Caenorhabditis elegans: one gene and its partners. The protein of the gene in region 1 interacts with the protein of each later gene in a pairwise test. Each region holds a gene or a part of one and is shown on either strand. Other genes may lie near its edges.

Region 1 (4,895 bases):
AAATCTGTAACTTTATCAATATCTGAGATTTTCAGCTGATTTTTAGCCTAAAACATGTGTTTTAAGTTTGGTTACTTTGCAAAAATACAAAAAGTCAAAGACATCTATCACCTACAGTACCCCCAGAGTTTTCGTGGCGCGACCCGGAAAAAATTTCGAAAACTGGGCTTTTCATCGGAGCCTAGCCGATATGGGTGTTAAATTGAAGCTACTGGCAAGAAAAAATTGAATTATTAGTTTTCAAGAGCTTATCTCGAAAATTGGCTGAGTAGCGGCTCGATATTTGAAAATTTCGAAAAAAAAAAATTTTTTTTCGAGAATGTTTTAAAATTTTCAACTCACTCCTAGGCGTTTCGTTGTTCTTGATCTCTTGTACAGTAACTTTTGTGACGTCAGCTGGTGGGTAAGGGCAAACCTGAAAAATTTGAAAATTATATATTTTTGAAAAAATTAATTTAAAAAAATTTCAAAAAAAAAAAAATTCCAGAAAATTTTTTAAATTTTTTTTATTTCAAAATTGCTTTTCAAAACTGAATTTGAAAGAATTTTTAGCCAAATTTTCTTTAAAAATTCCTCAAAAACTTACAGAATCGGGTAGTGTTGAGTGATCCGGAGAGGAGAAGTCGTGTGTGATTGTCGAGAAATGTTGGGGTATTCGAAGCGGGAATGATGGTGATGGAGCCCGTGCATTTGCCAGGAGCACTGAATCCGGAACTCTGAAAAGATTTGGTTTTATTTTCTAAATTTTGGAGAAATAAAAAAATTTAGAAAAAAAAGTTTTTTAAATTTTTTTTTTTTTTGAAAATTATTCTTAAAATTATTTTCATTTTCCTTATTCAAAATATAAATTTTTTTCGTTTTATTAGAAATTCACCGCGTTGGGAGCTTCAAAATGACCCCAACACATGCCTATATCCTTTTAATTTTAAAATTTGGGTCCCGCCACGAAAAGCCCCAGGGAACTGTAGTTTTCGAGTTTTTCAGAATTATATTATTTTTGCCATATTTTTCAAATACTCACAATTGTTATACATTTTAATTCAAGTTAAAATCTCAAAAATGAGAAAAGTTATGGATTTTCGAAACTTTTCCGAAAAAATTTTCCAATGGAAAGTTCAAAATCTACCGTAACCCTGAGGATGCTGACAAAAAAGTTAAACTAATACAAAATTCAAATTTAGTTTTTTGAGACCTTTCATTTGACCCCCATCATGCCTAGGTTCTTGGTAAAATTGAAATTTTTTGAATTGTTGAGTCCCACCACGAAAATTTTCAAAATTGGCGGAGCCTGGGAATGTTGGCTGTCAAATTAAAGCGAATAGCGTGAAAAATTCGAAAATAATGGTAAAATAGAAAAAATCAAACTTTTTTTCGTGTTACAGAATTTTTAAATATTTTACAAAATTAAAAATTTTGATTTTTTTGAATCTTTTCGAAAATCCGTAACTTTGTCAATTTTTATGCTACTCAGCACAAATTTTTTACAGGGTATATGAAAAGTTTTCAAAAATTTATTAGAAATATAAAACTGCAAACTTTCCGTCTAAACTACAGTAGCCGGTGGAGTTTTCGTGGTGAGACCCGAATTTTCAAAGTATGGCGGATTACTATTTTGAAGCTGAGATTATGCTCATTCTGATTATTTACAGAAAACATGGTTAAAACAAAAATTAAAAAAAAAAAACTTTTTTGAACAAAAAAAATTTTTTTTCCTCAAAAATGATCGAATTTTCACATAAAACCTGCTCCAATGAACTCGTCTCGTTGAGACCTTTAAAATGACCCCCATATCGGCTAGGTTCCGTCATTTTTGAAAATTTTCGGATCCCGCCACGAAAACTACAGTACCCCTCCGTGGTGGGACCCGGAAATTTCAAAGTTGGCGGAATATAGCCAATATGGGGGTCATTTGAAAGCTCTGAACACAGAGAATTCGAATTTTGTATTTTCAATCTCAGACTCCGAATTTTAAATCTTTTTTCACGGGAAAAAGTGAGATTTCGCCCAAAAAAGTATAAAAAGCTCAATTTTTAAGCTTCAAAATGCTCACCTCTCTACATAATTTGATGGTACCAGTCCCTGACGTCCATCCAGCGTTTCCCCACAATAAAATCCATCCGAATCCATTTCCCCTTTCACCAGAACCACATCTCCCGGCTGAAGGCTCAGCTCGAGCTGTGGATTCTCGTTCGGCGAATCCCTTAACGGTAGATATTGAAAAAGGGCGCGAAAAACGCGAGAATTGGGTCTCGAACGGAGTTGCAGGAGCAACGCGTCACTCGTCGGTGGTACTGTAGACGCGGATGACGTCGTGGGACCCAGATGGTTGGTGAACGAGGTCGACGGGCCTGGCACCATGCCATAGGAGGATGCGGGGGGTGGTGGGGGCGGCGGACCGGGTCCCGACAGACCGCCCAGCATTCAGTTGGTGACTAGGTGGTCCGCCTTGTTGTAGGGACCCCACGAACCTGAAATTAATAATTTAAATTTTTGAAATTTTTTTTTTGGATTTTTTTTTGGATTTTTTTTTTGGATTTTTTTTTTTTTTAATTTCAAAAAAAATTAAAAACTCAATTTAAAGCTTTGTAACCTAAAAATTTGAATTTAGCCCTTCGAGACCTTTCATTTAACACCCATCTTGGCTAGGCCCCGACTATTTTAAAAATTTGGGTCCCGCCACGAAAAGTCCCGGGGTACTGTGTAGAATGTTAAATATATTTTTCTAAAGCTTTTCAAAGAATTACAAAATTTTCGAAACTAAATTCAGGTAGAAAAAATTAAAATTCGCAAAGTTATCGATTTTCGAAAATCTTCGAAAATCTTCGAAAATCCATATTTTTATTATTTTTTAAGATTTTTTCTCAATTTTTAGCTCAGATTGTGTCAAAATTATCAAAAAAAACTAGGAAAAATAAGACTAACCCAAATTCACCAAGACTACCAAACCCTACAAGTTTTCGTGGCGAGACCAAATTTTTTCATATTTATTAGAACCTAGGCAATATGGGGCTTATTTTGAAGCTCTCAGCGTGCTGAATTCAGATTTTCTAGTCCTGACACAGCATAATTGTCGACAACAAGAAAAACGGTCCAACCTACCGCCGAATGATGGTGTAGACGATTGATGGTTGTTGTTGGAAGAGGCCACGATGTTAGATCCCGGTGGGCGCCTGCAGGAATTTTTATTTTTATTTTTGGGGTAACTTGTTGGAGGGAAATCCACGGGTGAATAGAGAAAAAAATATTTGGGTCATAAATGGGCGGGGCCTAAATGGGCGGAGCTTAAAACTGGGCGGGTTTATAATGACACATTAAACATTGGAAAAAGAGATTTTTGAAAAATTATTACTCTATGAAACTGTAAATTTTTTTTTTGAACTTCAGGTAAATGGACAAAAAAAAATTAGTCAATAAAGGGGCGGAGTCTGGGTAAGAAAAGGGCGGAGCTTGCAAATTATTCAGACATTTCTATTTTAGGAAAAAAACTTTTCATACAAAAACCAACTAAAAATCGTTTGAAAGAGAAGCTTTTATTTTTTATTTTTTTTTACAAGAATTTTTCCAACAAAGGGGCGGAGTCAAAAAGTGGGCGGTGCTTGTAAACTGTTTAGAAATTTTCATCAATTTAGAAAAAAACTACTTCATTAAAAAAAAATTGTTTCAATTTGAATTTTTATTTTTATTTTTTTCAAGAACTTTTGCCAATAAGGGGGCGGAGTCAAAAAGTGGGCGGGGTCTGTGCGAGAAGTAGGCGGAGCTATATATATATATAGGTGGGGCTTTTGAGCAATTCAAAAAATTTTTATTAAATTTTTTTTTAATGTCGTTTGAATTTGAAGTTTTTTCTTCATTTTTACGAGTAGCCTAATAAACCGAATTTATTTTAAAACCAAAGAAAAATAAATGAGCACCCACATACGGGCAAAAAAGAGCACAAAAAGAGAAGAAGCTGGAGTGCAAGAGAGCCCTCCGCCCCGTAAAAAGTAGTGGGACTAGTCAATGGAGAAATAGAAGCAGAGACGGAGAAGAAGCGGGGGGACGGAGAGCACGTAAACTACTTTTATCGACTTCCACTCACAGACCACTTGTCTGAGAGCCCGATGTACTTGGCGAAATTTGCCGGGAAATTTGCCGAAAAATTGCCGAAATTTGGAAGTTTTTTGCCAGAAAAAGGTACAGCTAAACTAAAACTAAGATATCTCGAAAACTAAAAAAGGTATCAAAAAATTGTCAACATACAAAATGTGCATATTTTTGTGCTCTATATTTTGTTAGTTGACAATTTTTTGATAACTCTCACAAGAACAAAGTTATGGGGGTTTTAAAATAGAGGAGAGCAAGGAGAGACGCAGATTGCGAACTGAAACACCTAAATCTCAGCTGATAAGAAAGTTGTCAAAAATTTGTTAACTAACAAAACAATAAGCGCAAAATTCTACGTATTTTGTTAATTGGCGCCGACAGGGAAAAAAGTTACAACAAGTTTAAAAAAATTCGAAATTAAAAAAAAAAAAAAATTTTTTTGAAATTTTAATAAAAATTTTCAAATTGTAAGGAAAAGCTGTTGGATATTTTTGATTGGAAAAATAATGTTTAAAAGTACATATTACATGATTTGCGTACCGTGGGAAAGTTTGGAGCACAAAATTAATAAAAGAGGTTTTTTTTTTTAATATTTCATCTGAAAAAAGTTGCATTTTCAGACGGTGAAGCCTTTATTTAAGCTTAGATTATTAAAATTTAAGAAAAATGAAAAAATATTTGTGTACTAAAAATGCACTAAGACAGCTTTGAAATTGCTCCAAAATTCCAGAGAAAATAAATGTGAAAATTTAATTTTTTTTTTTTTGAAAGTTTTTCAGCTGAAAAAATTGAATTTCCAGACGGTGAAGCCT
Region 2 (3,844 bases), on another chromosome or scaffold:
GCGCTTGACTTCTAGCGGATTCAGCATATGTTCACATCGAGAACCCGGTAGATGTCGGGTGCTTGCAACAACCCGTGCAAGAAAAACCTCACAAACTTCCAGGAATTCGAATGATTCTGTTCAGAAGTTTCAAAGAGATTAAACAGTCAAGAGTTGGCACAATCGCGTCAGTAGGAGCAACAAGTTTCACACCAATGCCGCCATGAAAATCAATAACATTCTCATTTCCTCACTATTCTATCTATTTCCTCCATTAAATTTGAAAAAACAAACACTCAGAATATGTGATAAACGATGAAGAGAGTAGTCCGTCACCGGTTTTTCTACCGCCATATGTCCCCTCCTTATTCTCTCCTTTCTCTCTACCCCTTTCGTGTCATTGCACTAGATGACAAAGGAAAATGTGACTGCTTGGCGCAATGGTAGCGCGTTCGACTCCAGATCGAAAGGTTGGGCGTTCGATCCGCTCAGTGGTCAAAGTTTTTTTTTTTTTTCTAAATTTGAGTAAAAACTTAAAGTTATCAATATTATTTATTAAAAAAGTATAAAGAAGTATTGTCTTGTATATACACATAACTGGTGTCACAATTATACATTGGATGACTACATTCTCTTGCAACATTGTCCATTTCCACACGGAGAATAGTTTTGCTGGCAAGAGCAGGAGTTGACTGATTGAGTGAGGCATGGCATCTGGACTAGTTGAGCAGTAGAGCACGATTGATAGCATGATTGGGTGCATGCTGGAGCACATTGCTGCATTGGTTGTTGTTGTTGAATGCATTGTTGTTGGCATGATTGTTGGCATTGTGGAACACATTGAGCAGATTGAGAAACTGAAGGTTCTAGGATGACAGTCACAATTTGTGGAGCAACAACTGGAGATTGGCATGCTGATTGGCATTGCTGACATTGTGGAGCAGCTGGTTGCTGACATTGTGGAATACATTGTTGTTGGCACTGTTGAGTCTGTTGGCACGAAGTTTGACATTGTTGGCAAGCTGGTGCAGATGGAAGTGTGCATTGTGGAGCACACTGTTGCTGGCAAACTGGAGCATACTGCTGGCAAGTATTCTGGCACTGCTGGCACTGTGGAGCTGATGGCTGTTGGCATTGAGGAGCACACTGTTGTACGCATTGTGGAGCTGCTTGCTGACAGGTTGTCTGGCATGGTTGAGTACATTCCTGATAGCACTGTTGAACTGGAACTTGTTGTAGAAGACATTGTTGTTGACACTGTTGTTGGCATTGTGGAGCACATTGAGCAGAGATTCCCAAGTTGACATTGATGACTTGTGGAGCAACAGTTGGAGCACATTGTTGAACACATTGCTGCTGACATTGTGGTTGACATTGTTGAATTGGTTGAGCTTGAACACATTGTTGAGTGCACTTTTGTTGGCATTGTGGAACACACTGGACTGTGACTGGAGCTGGAGCAACACAGGATTGTTCACAGGCTGGCATGCAAGATGGTTGACATTGGACTGGAGCTGGAGCAGCTATTTGAGTATAACAGGAAGACGTCTGACAAGTCTGCTGGCATGAAGATTGACACTCATTCATAGATGGAGCAAATTGACATTGGTTCTGGCAAGACTGCTGACAAGCTGGAGCACATTGAGAAGTTTGCACTTGGTAAGTTACTTGCTGAACTGGTTGGGCACATGAGCAGGATGTCTGGACTGGAGCAGTGTTCTGACACGAACAACTGTACTGTTGTGGTTGAGTTGCTTGTTGGCATGAACAACTTGGTTGAACTTGTGAAGCACAACCACATGATTGACGTTTATCACGAATTGAAGATGCCTAGAAATAATATAATGTTTCAAGGTGTACATATAAATTGTTAACTAATTCTACAGATAATTCAGAAAGTAAGTGAAGCAACAGTAATACAAATCGTACCTCAACAATAAGAAGGCTAGAAACAAGAAGAACTGCTGCAATTGTAATAAAACGCATTGTCAATATGATTGAAGAGCTGCTAAGAGACAATTGATGCCCTTGTTTTAATTTTTCCGACTTTTATACCAACGTCCTACAACCCTGTTTCATTAGCCATCAAACAGTTCCGTCCCACTTATCAAACTCCATCCATCAACCGGCTTCATGCTCAGCGCAAACATAACAATGATAACATGGCAAATGAACCAAAAAACACGCTCGTCGCCTCCCAGTCTTACACACACTATTTCTTGAGGGCACGGCAAGTTGCAAAGATCAAAAAGAGGTTGGGTGCGCGTTTGCACTGATACAGTGTTTTTTTTTTGGATTGCGCCGAGTTTCCGCTTAACTATGTGTACCAAAAAATTTCGTTTACATTTTCAGAAAAGTAATGAAAGGGTTACCTGTTGAACTTTAGAGTTCGGATTTCGACAAAACGATTTTAAATTGTTTATTGCCTTTTGACGCCACTCATTATTAGAAACACCTTTTTGTTTGCTCTCACAATAGCCATTCGAAATTACAAGACTTGAACTCTTGGACTATTTTTTCCGGCACTATTTTTTTACATTGCTATAATCGTACGCAAGCAGTGTTTGAGGGGGTATATAAAGCCTTGATATCTGTGGAAATCATCAAGCCCTGCTTCTTCAACCATTATCATGCGTTTCATCGTATTTGTAGCTCTCTTTGCTTCCAGCTGTCTGCTTATCGAGGTTTGATAAAGTTTCATTGTACTTTCACTTTTAGAATGGCACGACATTTCTAAACTTTTTCAGTTAGTATTTCGGTTTATTAATAATTAAAAATATTATATTAACTACAACAATTTTCCATCACTTGATGAAAAATTCATCATGTACAGTTTTTTCAAAATGTTCTTGATAATACGGTCTAGTTTTCTAAGTGCCCACATCTTACAAATATTTGTTGGACGTAATCGATGTTAGCAACAAAATGCTTGTTTTCCAAGTTCACAGAAGTTTTTTCCAGGCAACATCAATTCGTGATAAACGTCAATCATGTGGTTGTGCTTCACAAGTTCAACCAAGTTGTTCATGCCAACAAGCAACTCAACCACAACAGTACAGTTGTTCGTGTCAGAACACTGCTCCAGTCCAGACATCCTGCTCATGTGCCCAACCAGTTCAGCAAGTAACTTACCAAGTGCAAACTTCTCAATGTGCTCCAGCTTGTCAGCAGTCTTGCCAGAACCAATGTCAATTTGCTCCATCTATGAATGAGTGTCAATCTTCATGCCAGCAGACTTGTCAGACGTCTTCCTGTTATACTCAAATAGCTGCTCCAGCTCCAGTCCAATGTCAACCATCTTGCATGCCAGCCTGTGAACAATCCTGTGTTGCTCCAGCTCCAGTCACAGTCCAGTGTGTTCCACAATGCCAACAAAAGTGCACTCAACAATGTGTTCAAGCTCAACCAATTCAACAATGTCAACCACAATGTCAGCAGCAATGTGTTCAACAATGTGCTCCAACTGTTGCTCCACAAGTCATCAATGTCAACTTGGGAATCTCTGCTCAATGTGCTCCACAATGCCAACAACAGTGTCAACAACAATGTCTTCTACAACAAGTTCCAGTTCAACAGTGCTATCAGGAATGTACTCAACCATGCCAGACAACCTGTCAGCAAGCAGCTCCACAATGCGTACAACAGTGTGCTCCTCAATGCCAACAGCCATCAGCTCCACAGTGCCAGCAGTGCCAGAATACTTGCCAGCAGTATGCTCCAGTTTGCCAGCAACAGTGTGCTCCACAATGCACACTTCCATCTGCACCAGCTTGCCAACAATGTCAAACTTCGTGCCAACAGACTCAACAGTGCCAACAACAATGTATTCCACAATGTCAGCAACCAGCTGCTCCACAATGTCAGC
Region 3 (4,506 bases), 5.4 Mb from region 1:
TTTTGTCCACTAGTAGGTCCTGGCATGGTGGAAGATATTGCACTGGTGGTCGTGCTTCGAAAAGCGCCAGAAGATTGGGAGGTAGAAATGCCGTCATGTCACCTGAAAATAATTTTTATTTATTATTTGAGTTTTGTAGGTACAAAGATTATCGAATAGAAGAGAGAAAATAGTATGGAATGGGAAGATGAAGAACAAAACAAAAGAAGAAAAAAAGTTGAAAAAATGTCTGAAAAAGAAAATAAAAAAGCGATCCTCGGTTTCAGATAGCTGTTCCACGTTCCAAATCGTCTTTGATATCTTCTGTGTACTTTCCATAGTACTTGTCCAGTTTCTTATTGAATTTCTTGTTTTTCTCATTGATGTAATCAATTGGCGCGTCAGGATCATAAAGTCTACGACGATGATATTGTTCTCGTCTTTTAACTTGGCCGTGAACATCTTTAGTGAGCTTATCCATTGCAGCAGTTGTCGGATAGTGATTTCCTGAAAACTCTTTGGTTTTTCTTTGAAATTATGAGTTTTGCTCCTTACCATGAATAAGTGTGTCAGCAGTTGGGTAAAACTGTTCCCCTCCAACGCATTCTCTCATCTTTTTGTAAGAATCAAGATCTGGATCAAGAGCAGCAGTCAGGCGAGTATGTTGACGAAGAGTCATATCTTCGTAAGAAGTAAATCCTTGATCTGGGTTCTTCTTTCTCTTTCTTTTTTGCTCAAGCTTCTCAGTAACATCTGCAGACATCTCTAAACTGCGAACACGTTCATAGTCCAATCCCTTGTCTTCTGCAGCTTTTCGATCTTGTAGCTCTTTAACCTGCCATTGATCTCTTTCCTTTTTTGCTTCGTGGTTTTTTGGAAGTTTGCTGCGACGATCTTCTTCAACGACCTACAATTTTAAATTATAATTGAAAATGTAAACGTTAAAACACTAACCTGTTCGTGATTCTCTTTTCTCGCTCTTTGGCGGAGTTTGTGAAGATCACGGAACCTCTGATTGAAATCCTTCATTTTTGATCCACTGGACGACGGCCCACTGCTGCTCGATTGTGATTCGGAAGACATCTAGGAAAAAGTGTTGAAGAGAAATCCAGAAAGTTGAGAAGAAAAGCTACATTGAAACGGAATACAGAATATTTTGAACATCAGAAAAAGAAGAACCGATATGATTTGAATTCATTTACAATCTATATTTTTTAAACCGATAGTTACATGTTCAAAACATATTAATACTATCCAGCTTTGCGAAACAAAGAAGGCTTTCTTAGAAATAAGCATGGTACTATCGATAAGGAGTTCAAAAATGGAAATAAAAACTTTATTTTCTAGTTGAAAATGCTGAGAATCGAGTCAAAATTGCGAAAATTAATCTGGGCGAGTAGTTCAACACAGCGCACTTGCACAATTTTCTTTTCTCTCCGCTGCGTAGCGGTCGCGTCGCGGTCGTCTAGTCTTGCGCTCGTCACACCGAACGCGTCAATATGTGACGTTTCGGGCCTTTTCTGCTCACTCTGGCGGTAATTTAAACATATTAAAAATATATTTTAATTCAAAAATATTTATAATAGACCATTTAAAAGTACTCAACATTATTCCAATTGTTCGTTCTTGTTGTTTTGGGCACTTTGAGTTTTTTCTTAAAATTTTAATTTAAATTTCAGCTGATGATGTTAATGAACAGTACTGAGATAGTTGACGACAACATGGTAGTCGAAGGATATGAGGAAATTGCAGTGGATGACGATATGAATGATATGAGAGTGAGTGTGCTTGAATCATTAATTTTCTTTATTCAAATTTAAGGAAATGGTTGCAAATGATGAAGATGACAGTATTCACTATGAAGCCCATGATGGAAGCGAATATGGTGGAATGCCAATTGACCAATATCAAGATATTGTTATGTTCAAAACGTAAAAAAAATTTTTCCTGAGTAATATAAATTTAAAGCATTATTCCAGAACGGACCAAGTTCCTGCAAGTGTCTCCTCTCGTCTTGATCGTAGTGCGCCGAGTCATTGGAGAGCTCGTTGTAAATGTTTTTCAATGGCGGACGATAGGGAAACTCTTTTGTATTACAATCCCGAGAAGTCTGCGAATACTATTCCAAAAGTAGTAGTGAAGAAAGGAGAAGTTCAAAAAGTCCTTGAGAGAATTCACGAACTTATTGGTCATCTTGGGCAGAAAAGAACGTAAGTAAAACTACTATAATAATAGCTGACAATTGTTACTTATAGGCAGATGGTCGTGCTTCGGAAACTCTACTGGCGGTCGGTTCGACAAGATGTTAAAACATTTATTGCCTCTTGTGATTTTTGTACAGCAAAGAAAATACAAGGCAGAAAAATAACAAAAGCACCTGTGGATATTACCTCTGAGCATTTTGATATTTCCGTGCTTGTTAGAGATTCTTCCAGCGGAAATGATCGATTTGAGTTTCAATTGGTGGGATACAATGAGGATGAAGTTCGCGAAGCATCATTTACAAGGATGACATCATATACATTCAAAGAAACTGAGCATGCATTCAGAAGCAGATACAGTAACCATCAGCAGACTGGGGTACGTTAAGAATCTGAGATTCTCTACAACTCTAAGCAAAAATCGTTTTAAATTTACTTTAATTATTGCCAAATTCACAATATTTGCATTTTCAAATTTTTAAAAAATATTTTGCAGCCGCCAACGTTCCGTCGACAACCATATGTGAAGAAACACAAAAATCAATCAGTTGGATATCTTCTTCCATTTCACCAAAGATCTCGTGCCACAGAACCCGAGTTTATCGAAGTTTTTGGGCGCGACATGTTCACTCATCATCCTGATATGATGTATGAAACAGTTCCAGAAATGGACGATGGAATGATGAGATCAAGAGAAGAAGTTAAAAGAAAAGATGAAGAACTGCCCAATGCACATCCAGTAACTGTTGGCGGAGCAGTACTGAACTCGAATAATTTCAAAACGGAAGATGAGGTAAGAAATGAATGAGTCAAGTGTTCTTATTGAATTCCGATCAAAACAAATTATTTTCAGGGAAATCTTGCTGTCTCTTCTCGTTCTCAAGAATCGACGTCTTCAGCATCACCACAAAAAATGAACCATGAACAGCAAAGATATAGTCAAAAACGTCATTTGGAGATGAGAACTGGAAGAACGACGAGAGATATGAGAGATTATGAGTCATCTGGACGACAATTATCACCAACTCCAACGACTACAGCTGGACTTTTGAAAAAGAGAAGGCGAGAGTTGCCAAGTATTCGAGGAATGGCAAATCGTTTCAGTCTGGCAATCGGCGACTCGGATAGAATAGGTAGGTTTTTAAATTTCAGTCTTATTTTGAATGTTGGAAATTTTTAGATAACACCGAAGTAAATCGCTCAAATCCACATCTGATCGAGTACCCTGATCCTTCGTCTATTCTTCGTGGTGATAATGCAGGATTGCCTCCCGTTATTATGGCGCCATCCACCAATGATGAAGTATGCAAACTGCAGATCGAGGTATTTCGCATGAAAACCAAAATTGAAATTATAATAAGACACGTTTCAGGCACTCCAACGTCATATTCATCTACAAAAAATGCAAGAAAAACTACTCCATGAACAGTATGAAGCTTCCATGCGAATTCCAATCACCCGATACATCGAACAAGAAGAGGAAGTTCAGGAAGAACAACTCGAAGTTGAGCATCATCATGTCATGGAAAATCATCACCAAGTGTACGAGGAAGTAGAGGAAGAAGTGGTTCCGCAAAATCCCCGTCGGCACATTCGTCACCAGTAGAAGCTTACATGTTTCTTTATTGTTTGACAATATCTTAATAACTAAACTCACATACGATCTTTTTCCTTAATTATATCTGAAATTTTGTGACAGTTTTGTAATGAATCCTAAAAAGATTAAAACATGAAGTCATCCTTATCACAGAAGTTCAACTCAAAAAAGGATGTTATCTTTCTAAAAGTTTTAAAGGAATTTATTTCATTCATTACTGCTGTGAACAGGATCGTCTCGTTGATATTAGCATTACGTGAACTTTTCCTCAACACATCAATATGAAATCGATGCGTAAAAAATTGAACTTAATGTTTTTTTGAATTATTCCTAACTCGTATCGAGCTAGTCTACACTATTCTCTAACAAAAACTTCTGTTTGGACTTGGCTTTGCTTTATTTTCGTTAAGGATACTCAATTTCGACAACACGAGAGATACAACGGTACTAGTTTGAAAACTTGAAGATTTGTTTCACTTACTGGCAAGGCAAGCTATTATGTATACAAAAGGGTTAGTCTGATTGTTTAAAAAGGTTTTTCTATCAAAGAAAGTGAAAAGAAAAGATTTGAAACAAAAATTCGATAAAACAGATCGAATTATATTGGAGTTACGGTTCACAAACCGTACCCCTGTGCATTTTATCGTGAACGTGTTTACGGACCACTTTTGCCGCCAATAATTTTCAGACACTTTTTTTGCAAAAACAATTCATTTTCGTCTTAATTTG
Region 4 (5,117 bases), on another chromosome or scaffold:
GGATCAGAGAAACCGGATATAAGCTTTTTGGTTATGGAAGAGATCGTAAGTTCCGATTTTTATGTGATCTTTTGAAATTTTTAATTCCAGCTTCGGATAGTGTTTTGGAGTCTGGAAAGTTGAAATCGCTATACTCGTTTGTTGCGGAGTGCTCCGACGATTTCCCATATGGCGGGGTGTATTGTACGTCGGCAGTGAATAGAGGATTGTCTTGTGATGTTTGTTTTTAAAGTTTAAAAGTGTTTCTTCAGAAGTAGGCAGAACAATGCCTACTTGCCCAAGATGCCTAATAGTTTCCACTGATTCCAGGGTGACAGTGGCTCGGGAGTTGTCCGAACATCGGACACTCGAAATGTTCAAGTTCTCGTAGGTGTTTTGTCAGCCGGAATGCCTTGTCCAGAACTCTACGATACCCATAATCGTCAACGTCAGCAACGGAGACAGCTGACTCAAGAGACTGATCTTCTCGTGGATGTCTCGGCACACGTGGATTTCTTCTGCACGTGCTGTGGAATGTGCAGTTGAAAGTTTAAGATTCAAACATTTCATTTCGTTTTTAATATAAGAATGCTGAAATAAAAGTGAACGTTGAGTAATTAGTTAATTTACACAAGAAAGTTTTTGAAAAATCTGATTTCAATTCAGTCCTGCATCTATTCAAGTTTGCGATTGGCGTTCTGAAAGTTCAAAAATTAGAAATTCACATCTCTATCACTTACGTAAATGTTGATTTGATTCTTGAGCTGTGCAGTGAGCACTTTTCCAAACACAATATGATTGTGAGACGCGAGGATTTTTGCGGCGGCAAGCGCGGCCTCCGATGGGTCCAACACTGTAGTACACCCGATTCCATTCGGCATTCGGAGTGATGACCAAATGTCAAGACTCGTTGATTCACTTGGTGGCGGGCAGTTGATCACCTGAATTCTTTGAAATAAAGATCATCTGATCTTTCAAGTCCTACCGGAAGAGACGAGTTTCCAGCAATAACTGGACCGAGTCCATTGGATCTTCCAGCTACTGCAATCACAACTGTCGGAACTCCACTTTCTTCGAAATCAGCGATAACTTCCAGAGTGTCCGAGGTAGTTTTATGAGCTGAGCTTACTTTCAGCGTAGTTTCCAGTCCAAATTTCTTGGCTTCATCAGAGATTTTCCGTGCGAATACGCCATCCGAACCAGATCCCATGATCACAAGAACATGGCATTTTTGCTGGTGTTTTGAGAAGGTGGCAGTGATATCCATAACCTGGAAATGTTATTGGTAGGTAGATACGCCTTCGTGTCTATGTGCCTGCCTACCTACTCAACGTGTCTACCGAAAATTGTAGGTATGCATATTGGCAGAAATCAGGTGCAGATCGCCTTGCAGGCAGGCAAGTTATTGTGCTTACACGAAAGGTTTGATTCGCGTAAAAATCTAACAATTGATATATAGGATGATTGAATTTAGGTTTAGGCTTAGGCTTAGGCTTATGCTTAGACATGGGCTTAGGCTAAAACTTAGGATTAGGCTTAGTCTTTGGTTTAGGCTCAGGCATAGGCATATGCTTAGGCCTAAGCTTCGGCCTACTAACCTTTGTATAATTCTTCAAAACGAGAGCCAACCCCTCTTCTGTCACTTCCTTCATATCCCTGTAAACTTGCTTATCCAACTGCAGACGTCTATCATTTTCAGGCCAAACTCTCCACGAGTCATTGTCAATCACGTCGGCCAGGAGAATTTCTCCTTCAACTGTGACTCCGAATTCGATCTGGAATTTTCAGGTTTTCTTCAAAATTATTTCAAAATTACAACAACCGACAATTGTAAAATTCAGCGAAAAGAAAAACACACTTCTCCTCGTGAAGTACTCAAGCTGCGTAAATCGACACGTTACAGAAAACACCCAGTTTTAAATGGTGCTGATTTCCTTTCAAAATGTAAATATTTACAAAACGAATATATTGCAGACCGAACATTAAACTTACATACTTTTTATTATGTTTACTTTTTAAAGTTGAGACCGATAAAAAAAAAGAGAATAATAAAAACTTTGCAACACCCTCACCTTCATATCAATCAGAGCACTATTTGAAAGAGCCCATCCTTTCTCCAATGCTCTAAACACCAACTTTGTCATCTTCTTCATCAATGAAATCTCTTCTCTTCCAATTTTCAAATGATCAATCATCAAACCATTCGACACAATTTGTTCATCAGTCCATTGTGGATCATCATTAGCGTCGTCTTTGAAAAATGTCTCCAATTTCAGATCATTAAATCTGAAACCCTCTTTAACTCCAGGATTTCTCTTCAAGAAGGATCCTGTCGCAACACGTCGTGCCACCCATTCAATCGGAATCATGGTGCATTTACGGGCGACAAATTCAGTTTCAGAGATGCTTTTTTCAAAGTGTGTTGGTAGACCGAGAAGTTGAAGATATTCAAACACGTTTGATGTGGTTTTACTTGCGATTCTAGACTTTCCTTCAAGCTCATTTTTACGGACAGCGTTGAATGCGGTCAAGCTATCTTTGGAACGAATGAGCACATAATCCTGAAAAGATTTTGTTCAGAAATTGAAAAAGTTGGATTCAATTTTGTTGAAAAGCACATTATTATCGCAATCCAAACGGAAAAATTCAAATAGATTTCAAATTTACGAAATTGACCGAGTTTTTTCTAGGCTCCGTGAAAGCTCAGACACCGTTTTTACAGGAAATTTTCCGTACGTGTATTTGAAAAATGTGCTGAAAGAGTGGCCGAGTTTTCTCATTTCCTAGGCCACAAGCTGGCTATTTGCGGCGTGGCCTAGAAAACGTGAAACCTCGGCCACTCACCGACAGTGAAAACCGAACATTTCTTTCAAAGATTATTTTGAGCATACTTCTGAAAAATCTCTTCTGATAATTCGGTTGGCCGAGTTTTCGTGTTTCTAGGACACGCTTTTCTGAATATTATGTAGACGCATAAAAATGTGACTTGGGCTGCAAAAGCGCGCCACGGATAACTGAAAACCGGGTCTCGTTAGGTATTGGCGGTAAAACCGTATAATCCTACTTTTTTGCCGATTCCAGCACTTTCCAATCATTTCTCGTTGTTTTTAACGATTTTTATGTTGAAAAATGCAAAAAAAATTGGGTGAGATCGTCAAAAATTCACGTTCCCAACGAGACCCAACGTTTTGGGGCGGAGCTTGTCAGATTACTCGCGGAGCGCGTTTGCATCACGATTTCAAAAGGCGCTTTTAAAATATCTAAATTTTAATCTATAAAGCATTAAAAAATTAGTAGAAAATTAATGTTTTCCCAAATTTTTTGAATTTTCAGTGAAAAAAACCAACCTTTTCTCCTTTAATATCAAAGATTTGCTTGGTTTTTCCTTCAGCAAGAAGCTCCAAGTTTTCGGGTCTCGACGCGATTTCAGCCAACGACGACATGACAAACAATAATAGTATCGAATGAAACTGTGTTGCTATCACGGAACGATATCAGAACCCCCTTGTAGGCGAGTTTGTCATCGACAAACATCTTGTTTTCAGCCTTTTTCCCCGTCTTATCAGTTCGGTGTTGCGCCACTGAAAATACAGAGAAAACCGCCGCCGCCAGTCATTGTGAAGCTCTTTCTTTGAAAAATCACAGGTTTTCAAAGAGCAACTTGTGTATATCGATAATCGTTTATACGAAAACGTAGAGAAAAGAGGAAAAATAAGGAAAACGAAGGAAAAAAATGGGAGATTGGGAGAGAAAATGTGGAGAGAAAGAGGGGAAAAAGAGATGGAAAATGAGAGAGAAAGGGAGCAATTCGAGAACAAGATGACGAAAGTGGGATATAGAAAATTTGCACACGAGAGATCATCTTCTTCTTGTTTAGTTTGGAGTAGCTCGCGCCGCCGATGGAACGGCTCCCGGTTGCACATTGATTCCTCCGATTCCAGCTGCTCCAACACCACCACCACCCATAACTCCGTTAAGACCCGCTGGTGCCGGTGGAGTGATTTGTCCGCCACCGCCGCCACCTGTGCCGAGCGTCAAGTTATGCATCTGAAGCATCAGACCCGTCTCCGGACCGCTCGGAAATTGTGGTCCTTGGAAAAAGTATTTGTAGGGTGTCGGTTGTCCGGAAACTGATTGCGGCATTTTCGGCCGATCCTCGAGCTCTTTGTACTCCAACTTTAACTCTTTCGGAATTTTTCGCCATTGCATCTGATCGAACACGTTGTAATGCCCTTTTTCATAATTTCCCGTCTGTTCTTTCACTCCACCGTACTGAGAACGCGTCAACCACACCTGTTCGCTTTTGTGAAATCGCCATTCGCGAGCGTACCTGCAAAAAATTTGAAAATATAATGATTGTTTCGTGATAAAAAAGATTTTCTCAATTGCTAACATAAAATATATGTTTTTTTCAATTTTCTAGCTAAAATTTTAAAATTATTAATAATTTGATTCGTGAACTTCGACCGCGACGTAACTGCAAACGGAGCGGCTCAATAATTTTTATTTTAACTTTTCGCTAAGAACGCGTGATTCACATGATTTTTCATAAATTTATATATGAGGCGAAATAAGAATCAACTAAAATGATGAACAATTATGCGATCTTAACGAAAAAGCGGATTTTCTTGAAAGTTTTTCGCCCAGAACGAGTGATTTTCTATCATTTTGGCCAATTTTTTATGCGTTTCATATGTAAATTCATGAAAATCACAAATTCTCGGGGAAAAAAAAAAACTAAAATAAATTTTTTAAACACGACGCTCCGCTCGCGGTCATGGTCGATGCAGGTTTTTGGAATAAACTTTACTTACAATTCGCACGCCGCCGCCACCTGATAAATCTCGTTTGGACAGTTGTAAAAAAGATAGAATAACACGTCTTCTGAAACTTTATTCAATCGCAGCGGTGGAAGTTTGTCTCGAATATGATTATGCGTCATGTACTCCTCGGGCACCTTCACGTCGAGCTCGTGTGCTCGAATCGGCGAATCGGCCCACGGACCACCAAAGTTCATGTACAATTTTCGTCTGAAACAGAGGGAAATTAGAGTTTTTCTGGGCTTTTCGGGCTTTTCAGGCCACTACTCACTCTGACAAATTCAAATTCAAGCCCAACGTCGTAAGATCATAACCTAA

What was found.
Region 2: the proteins of rimb-1 (region 1) and pqn-90 interact in a two-hybrid assay, tested with the Caenorhabditis elegans proteins (one large-scale study listed by BioGRID).
Region 3: the proteins of rimb-1 (region 1) and K04G7.1 interact in a two-hybrid assay, tested with the Caenorhabditis elegans proteins (one large-scale study listed by BioGRID).
Region 4: the proteins of rimb-1 (region 1) and paic-1 interact in a two-hybrid assay, tested with the Caenorhabditis elegans proteins (one large-scale study listed by BioGRID).

Annotation. Positions count from the first base shown.
Region 1 is NC_003281.10:1,786,610-1,791,504, reverse strand, and holds the start of rimb-1 (Variant SH3 domain protein), read right to left. Parts: upstream 3,173-4,895; 5' UTR 3,100-3,172; intron 2,469-3,099; 5' UTR 2,422-2,468; coding exon 2,051-2,421; intron 717-2,050; coding exon 587-716; intron 416-586; coding exon 343-415; intron 1-342.
Region 2 is NC_003282.8:15,289,298-15,293,141, forward strand, and holds pqn-90 (Prion-like-(Q/N-rich)-domain-bearing protein), read right to left. Parts: upstream 1,966-3,844; coding exon 1,909-1,965; intron 1,892-1,908; exon of another isoform or gene 1,870-1,891; intron 1,840-1,869; exon of another isoform or gene 1,810-1,839; coding exon 604-1,809; downstream 1-603. Other genes in the region: pqn-91 (Prion-like-(Q/N-rich)-domain-bearing protein), read left to right, coding at 2,610-2,663, 2,941-3,844.
Region 3 is NC_003281.10:7,161,054-7,165,559, forward strand, and holds K04G7.1 (Integrase zinc-binding domain-containing protein), read left to right. Parts: upstream 1-1,658; 5' UTR 1,659-1,700; coding exon 1,701-1,757; intron 1,758-1,800; coding exon 1,801-1,910; intron 1,911-1,958; coding exon 1,959-2,189; intron 2,190-2,234; coding exon 2,235-2,559; intron 2,560-2,676; coding exon 2,677-2,973; intron 2,974-3,033; coding exon 3,034-3,313; intron 3,314-3,360; coding exon 3,361-3,503; intron 3,504-3,552; coding exon 3,553-3,786; 3' UTR 3,787-3,907; downstream 3,908-4,506. Other genes in the region: rnp-7 (U1 small nuclear ribonucleoprotein 70 kDa), read right to left, coding at 1-97; Pre-mRNA-splicing factor syf-2, read right to left, coding at 263-486, 535-886, 934-1,062.
Region 4 is NC_003280.10:4,369,094-4,374,210, forward strand, and holds paic-1 (Phosphoribosylaminoimidazole-succinocarboxamide synthase), read right to left. Parts: upstream 3,433-5,117; 5' UTR 3,423-3,432; coding exon 3,327-3,422; intron 2,815-3,326; exon of another isoform or gene 2,745-2,814; intron 2,541-2,744; coding exon 2,052-2,540; intron 1,755-2,051; coding exon 1,578-1,754; intron 1,250-1,577; coding exon 965-1,249; intron 921-964; coding exon 720-920; intron 678-719; coding exon 654-677; 3' UTR 532-653; downstream 1-531. Other genes in the region: try-9 (Peptidase S1 domain-containing protein), read left to right, coding at 1-45, 91-218, 310-525; ntl-2.1 (NOT2/NOT3/NOT5 C-terminal domain-containing protein), read right to left, coding at 3,853-4,309, 4,794-5,009, 5,071-5,117.